Linked DNA regions of Drosophila melanogaster. The protein of the gene in region 1 interacts with the protein of each later gene in a pairwise test. Each region holds a gene or a part of one and is shown in the gene's direction. Other genes may lie near its edges.

The links. The genes of interacting proteins can lie anywhere in the genome.
Region 2: the proteins of CG12496 (region 1) and zormin interact in a two-hybrid assay, tested with the Drosophila melanogaster proteins (one large-scale study listed by BioGRID).

Annotation. Positions count from the first base shown.
Region 1 is NC_004354.4:2,409,175-2,412,928, reverse strand, and holds CG12496 (uncharacterized protein), read left to right. Parts: upstream 1-2,027; 5' UTR 2,028-2,132; coding exon 2,133-3,194; 3' UTR 3,195-3,564; downstream 3,565-3,754.
Region 2 is NT_037436.4:2,149,662-2,153,415, reverse strand, and holds the start of zormin (zormin), read left to right. Parts: upstream 1-1,715; 5' UTR 1,716-1,806; intron 1,807-3,134; 5' UTR 3,135-3,326; coding exon 3,327-3,671; intron 3,672-3,754.

The DNA of each region.
Region 1 (3,754 bases):
AGCGGTAAAAAATGCATGGGCAATTTGCATACAGCGATCGGGACTGGATCGTGACTTCGGGCTGTCCTTGAGGCAGGGTCCTTGGGCTCGTTAATTAAGCGTAAAATCGTCGCACACGAAATGCCGAAAATTCAAATTGAATTTGAGAGGTTTTCGTGTGGTTCTTTATCCATTTGTGTTTCGTTGTGTCCCAAAAAAACCGCAGAAAATGCGAGGATTATGGTAATTTTGTGTGGAAATTGCCGGTGAAGACTAGCCGGGATACGCCTTGTTAGGCAGGATGCTCGTTAAATCATATTAATCAACATGCCGGAATCCTTTCTTAGCGCTGGAAACTCTCTCAAAAACCCATTTAATCCTTTTGTGCGGCTGTGTAAACAGCAATAACTCAGCGCCACAAAGAGAATCGAAGGACTCGGGGACATAACGAGGGCAAATCGAAGGGAAAAGAGGTAAAAAGTAAGCAAAAGCAGGAGCGCATTTCGCAAAGTAAACGTTGAAAAAGAGTTGAAAAGTTGAGAAATTCGCCATTTCAGTGGATGGAACGGGGTAATCGATTAACTACCCCAGCACCCTTTTTGTGTCCCTATCCAGGATGAAAGCCGATCGGAAGATAGTCACATGAAAACATATGAAACAAAACGACTTTCACCACAAAAAAGCCGAAAAGGATAACGTGCGAAATATACGATCCCCGTTAGCGAAAATCTTTCAGCAATCGATCGCAAATAAAGATATCTCCAGGGGACCAGAACCCATTCAAAGATGCCTTTACATGCTGAACTAGATCAGAACGTCAGATAGCAAGCCACGTCGGTCACGGACACTTTGAGTGATCCAAGTCCAGGAGATGACGAGCGCCGATCACTTGAACGTCACTTAGGATCGCTGGTCGATGATCACTTGAAGATCACTCAGGGATCTCGATGATCACTTCATCTACAGCTGGTCAAGAGCCACATATGGGGGCAGTTATCTTTGATCTTGTCATCGGAAATATAATCTACTTATTGGTTCCATATTTCATATTCATATGGAGGACAGCGGCTGTGCTTTAAAATATAGATCACTACAAAGGTTATGGGAACCATTTCCTTTTACATTTACATTTCAAAGTTAAATCCATACAAGTTGTGAATTTGCATTGCATGAGGCCCATCTATTTGTAGAAAGAACACTTATTAAAAAGTTGATAATTTGATAATGCATACTGTGTACAAACTTTTCCCCTGTTGGGTGAGCAACTGACGCTTTGCACAGGACTTTTCCCAGAGTTTGTAACGTTTTTCTAATGCTTCCTTCCGGAAGTGGCAAACATTTTCAATTAAAGCCGCCGAGTATATAAATTGCATTTGCGGCCGCTAAAGAGCCGCAATTAATACTGATACCGCGCTACGACAAGTGGCTAAAATGACGAGGAGCTGTCGGCCAGGAAGTTGGACTTGGCATCGGCTAATTAGCCGGCCAACCTGACTTCCCTTCTCCCTTTTCCGTTCACTATTTTCCAGCCTGTTGCTGCTCTAAATGTCCATTCAAATGAGGGGGAGACAAGGGCGAAAGGAAGCAGACTTCCTTGAGGGGAATGAAAGCAAATTTAATAACCAAGCGCTGGCCGATAGACATCTAGATGTCATTTTCGTGTGGTGGTGCTGTGGATGAGTGCCTGGATTGGAGTGGGTGATTCTCGGCCGGTACTGCGAACTGTGGGAAAGGACGAATACCTCCAATACCTCCATCAAAATATCAGATCTCGTTGGCATAGAGATCATACTTTCATATTCTAAGCTAAGCTGCTGATATCCTCGAGCTTGTTGCTCAAGTTCCTCGAGATCCAAAGACAATTTGCTACCACACACATCCGTTGGCCAAAGAGAGTCTTTTCATCCAAGGAGAGAACGCCGGAGAGAGCGAGTGTCCTTCTGCCCGCCGGGGTGCCTCTTGCGCAACAACCCCTAGCCCCGTAACCCCTAGCCATTAACCCCTGAGCGCCGAGCGGGTATAAAACGCAGCCCGCTCCCCGTACCGCTTCAGTTTGTCAGCGAGAGCGGTCGAGAGCAGAAGACTAGCAGAGTCTAGAAGTACATCTTTTTTTTTTGTGCACCAGGAGCAGCAGAAACAGAACCACACACAACATGCTGAAGTGGACGGCATCGGCGCAGCGCCTGAACGAGATTCCCGTGCACGATCAGGATGCCAACCAGCCGCAGAGGAGGAGGCTGCAGAGGAGGCAGCGCCGTCAGCGGAGGGCCACCATTGCCAACAAGGAGAACGTGCCTGACACCGTGGGCTACACCTCCACGCCAGTGCCCATTACCCGGCTGCGCAACAGTCCCCTGGTCCTGGCGCCGCTGAGCGATATCCGGAATGTCACCCCGGAGGCGGTGGTGCGCAGTCAGGCGCCCCAAAGGGTACAGAGTGTGCGATACGCCACCACATTGCCACGTTTTGCCGAGGACTACTCGCCCAACGGACTGCCCAGTGGTCAGCACTTGGCGCTGAGGGGCCTGGCTCCGTTGGATCCCTTTCTGGGCCAGCCGCGCTATATTGTAGGCTCGGGTGCAGGAGTTAACAAACTCAAGCAGCGTAGACTGGACGAGGACTTTGTGGCCACCTTGGAGCCGGAGTTGCAGGAGACGGCAGTGCCAGAGCCACCCACCCCCAAGGTGGAAGTGCGTCCAAGCACACCGCAGCCCGCCTCCACGCAGATGGGTGATCAGACCTTGGATCGCCTAATCGATGCCATCTTGGATTCCGCCTGCAAGGCGAACGCCAGCAGCAAGAAGAAGCCGAGAAGGTCCACCTTCAATCTGCGCAGACGCACCTTGGTCAAGCAGCAAATGGAGTCGAACTGCCCCCAGGAGGTGCTGTCGCCATCCTACGCACCTGGAGACGATCCGGCCTCGGATCTGAGCTTTGGCCTGGTTCCCCTGCCCATGCACAACCTGATGCCCACTCCGGAACCGGCATCGCCCCTGGCCAAGATTCCTCACAACTTGCTTGTCCAACTGGCCACTCCAGTGGCCCCCAAGTCTGCCCCCTGCGACAACACCTTCTGCCTGGAGACTCCAGTCAAGGCCCTGAAGAGGACCCGCAAGGAGATCGTCGCCAAGGAGTCCCCCATTAAGCGCTACAAGGTCGACGAGCGCAATTACTTCGAGGTGGGATTGGCCCTGCCCTCGTCTATATATGTCTGAGCAGAGGTAATTTCAAACAGATCCTCGGAAAGCCACAAAAATGAGAAGAGAAACTAAATGCGAGATGGAGATGAAGATGGAGACGAGAAAGCGAGCAACGCTGACAAACGGGGGGAAAACGCTTAACTATGACGCTTAACTAGTTCCTAAGTCGTAAACTAATCATCTTTCAATTACTGTACATAATTTCTTAGGCCACCTTAATCACTATTTATTCCAATTACTAATATAACCATTTTTTTTTTTGCTGCTGTTATGTAGTTTTCGAATATACCTTTTTTTTCATTATTTAATTTTAAACAAATATGAATATTTATTGCTACTTTAAGTTACCCAAATAATTATTTTTTCAAAATAAAAGCATTAAATCAAAAACAATGGAGTACACTTTTCTTTTCTTTTGAAACGGGGAAAACTTTATATATCAGCTTATCATCATTAATGTCGCTTTTTTGAGTAACTTTGGCTACTTCCATGCGTACTGCCCAATATAGGGATATGGGATTGTATTGATTTCAAAATGGTGATATTTGAAAAAGACTAGACTATCTTCATAGTCT
Region 2 (3,754 bases), on another chromosome or scaffold:
CTAAGGCTTGCAAAAATTAGAGAATTCCCAAATGGTTAGAAAATATATTTAAAGTAAGAATTTAAATTCACTTACGGCCAGTCGAAATTTTTGCCATTAATCATATGTTTAATATTTATTTATAACTATTTCTCCCACACAGTCACAGTCACAAAACATAGTGCAATTAATATCGAACATGTTTTACCCCAAAAATAAAGCTAATCATTTATAATTTTTTTCAATACCTCCTAACTTTTCAGGTATTTAGTTTTAAATTTTATGCTTAAGCAAGTAAGTAACTCGTAACTGCAAAATTTGAATGTAATCTCGAAAATCCATGAAAACATTGCATAACTTTGGGCTGCATCCGTGAAAAGTCATTGCCATCATCTGCACTTAACCCTTGAGTGCTCTTTTGGACTTTTCCACCCTAAATAATTTTTTTCAATTTCCCTCTGTGGGTGGCCCTTTCCCCCAAACATTTAACAAGTGGTCCTCAAGTGATTTCAATTATCTGAAATGTGAACTGGCAGTGGGTGCAGCGGGGAAATGGGGTTAAGAGGGGTTGGCTGCTTTTGTGAGCTTCGTCAAGTGGCTCATTAATCTCAATTAAAAAACATATAAATAAATCGCTCTGAGTGTGGTGAGTGAGTGAAAAGAGTTTATACTTAACGAGCTGATCATCCAGAAAGGCGAACCAAATATCTATGAGATTCTTTTCATGCCATTCGACCAGATTTTCTGACGTGCCGGCGCTGAAAGCATAATTCGATAAGTTCGAATCGTTGATAGCGAAAAATAATAACACACATCTGCAGCGCATTGATTGCCGCAACTGCTGTTGCACGCAAGAAGCGTCGGATGTTGCACGTTGAATATTGCACGAAATCCGGAGCCAAAGCCAAAGCTGCAAGACACGCATTTTGGGTGAAAAATACTTCATAAATTGGGGTATAGAGCATCATGGGTGGTGAGGGGATTTAAATGCGGGCGGTCAGTCAGTTTGCCTTGCATTAAGACACGATATCGTCTGGTTTCCTCCGCTGCTCTGGTGTTGTTATTTTGATCTTCCACTCTTCACCATGTTATTAAAGTACAAAAGCTGCACTTGAATATGTTGTGGTTTAAGGTACCTCGTCTTATATGGGGTGTATAAGACCAACGAGGAAAAGGTCTAGCCAAGGGGAAAAATCATCCACACATAAGATGTTAAGTTAGATGAATATTCAAAAGTAAATGCGAATAAATAAAGTGAGGGCATAAGAGGGTAGCAACAGTTCGCTTAAAGTTACCCTTTATCATCAGAATTACAGGGTACAAGCTCGCTTCATATCGCTTTACCTTCTCTTCGTATTGTAATTGCTGAAAAGCCGGGCGCAGGGCATTAAAAATTGAAATCATGAATTAACGACGCCGCGAATGCCAAGAGCACTTGTTTATTTATGTCGTCTCCCCTGAAGCCCCGCATCTTGCCTCTTTCTCTAGCGTCTAGCGTCTCCAGCCCTCTCTTTCACACTCTCTCATTTTCAAAATACAAGCCGGCTTTTCAAAACTGAGCTTAGCCAGTGTCAAGAGATCAAAACAAGAGAACCGCTACCTGCATGAATGAATTGAGCGAATCGGTTAAGTTTCATGGGCTGCACGCTCTTTATCTCTTTCTGATCGGCTGTCTCCCGTAGAATCTGCTCAGTCTTCGGTCTCCGGTCTTCAGTCTTCCGATCATTTAGTCAGTCTTGTTCGAAGTTCGCGGCGTTCGGTTGTTCGGCTGTTGGGAAAGCGGCGCGCGCGTTTTGATTTTCCACATCTCCACCGCTCGAATATAATGTGCGAATAAAAACATATCTATGTAAATTAAGTTAGGCAGAAAACGAGGAAGAAAACAATAAATTTGGCACTTCAAAAAAAAAGCGAAATGAAACGTAAATTAATCAGCCATAATTTACCTAGAACATTTTTGACATTCAAAAATGCTTGGCGCTAGTTTTTTTTGCGTTCACTCGTCTAAAGATGAAATCAACAATCTGTGCTAAATTTATTGTTGTTGTCGAATATTCAGTTTTGTGACGACCCTCAGAAAGCACAAACAAAATGTTTAACAAATAGAAAACGACACAGAATGCGCGAAAAAAATATTTTTCAAAAATATTCGGTGACCTGATGCATTGAAAGCTTATTTGTTTGAGTCATGTGCATATTTCAATATACTACAACAGTCCACGCCCCAGAAAATTTCAATCAACAATTTTCCATTTTTTTTTCTTTTAAATTTTTTGGACAACAACATATGGAGGCAAAGCATTTCCTCGATTGCGCTACTGTAAACTTTTATAAAGGGAACTTGTTCTTCCCAATTTTTGGTTTGCTGCTTATTTTTAGACAGCGCAAAGTACAATTAAAATAGTTTACATTACGCCAGCAACGGCGGCGACTATTAAAAATTGAGAGAAACACCAAAAATTACCTAATGGAGGCAGCTGGCTGCACACGAGCATACGCGGCGTATGCGTAATGTATTCAAAAATATCGAAAAATCCATGAAAAATGACTGACTGGCGACGACTTCTGCCAATGCAATTGGCACATGTTACAGATTTGACGAACATCCGCGCGCTTTATCTATTAGCTATAGTAGCCTGTATCTGTAGCATCGCAGTATCTGAGTATCTGGGCTAGAACAACAGTTTAGCTTCGTGGCAGAAATCGCCGCAAAAAATTACTCAATAGTTTGTTGTTTTAAAAATAAACGCGAATCGAGCATTGTCTTTGAGTTTTGGCGGGGCGGGGGGCTACCGAGGTTCTACAACGAGACTAGCACACGCATCAAAGGCAATTTTCTCAGGCTCAATATGCAAAAAGTACACACGATTCTCTCGGCTATATAGCCGTATATATAGACACTACGGAATAATAAACAGACACTAGAGCGACAGGGAGAGCGCGAGTATGAAGTCATAGTCATCGCGGCGGGCAAAAAGAATTCTCCGTTTCGAAAATCTACCGATTCGCGGAGGTTCTCAGACGATCGCCGGCGTTGATAGCGCTCGCAACGAAACGAAGGAACCGCCGAATCGAATCCCCTGGCTATAACTAATCCCAATAAATTAAATCCGAACGCGAGTGACTCAATCTAATAGTTCCACTTTTTCGAGCAGAGTTCAAAATGCAAAACACGAGACACAAGCAGGGGAAGTAAGCCAAAATACGAGAAAAACTAAACGACAGAGATTATAAAACGCCCACGCAAAACACACCAAACTACAAGCACTCACTCAATCCTCGAAAGTTAGTCAAAAAAAAAGAAAACAGAGAGAAGTAGAGACGAGCAGATAGAAAGAAAAGCAACCATGGAACGCCGCCAAGCCCTAGACTCATCGATGTCTTCGCTCTACTCGGTCGCCTCCTCCTCGAATCCCAATCCCCGCCAGCCGCACACCGGCCACCAACTTCAGACGCAGCAATCCCAGCAATCTCAGCAGTCCCAGCTAGACGCCTTCAATTATTCAGCAACAATGTCATCATCGTCGCCGACTCCAAGTCAGGCCATGTCCACAGCCATGTCCACGGGCACGGGCACCGGCACCGGCACCACCCACACCACACCACCATCCTCCTCCTCCCTGAGAGCCACCACCATTGGCACCGTTGTCGTCCGATGCGGACCCATCCAGCTGGTGATAGCGCTCCTACAAGTGAGTTGTACTCTTGTACCCCGCAAACAATAAAAATAGTAAACTAAAAAACGAAACGAATCCAAACAAAAAACACACAGCAA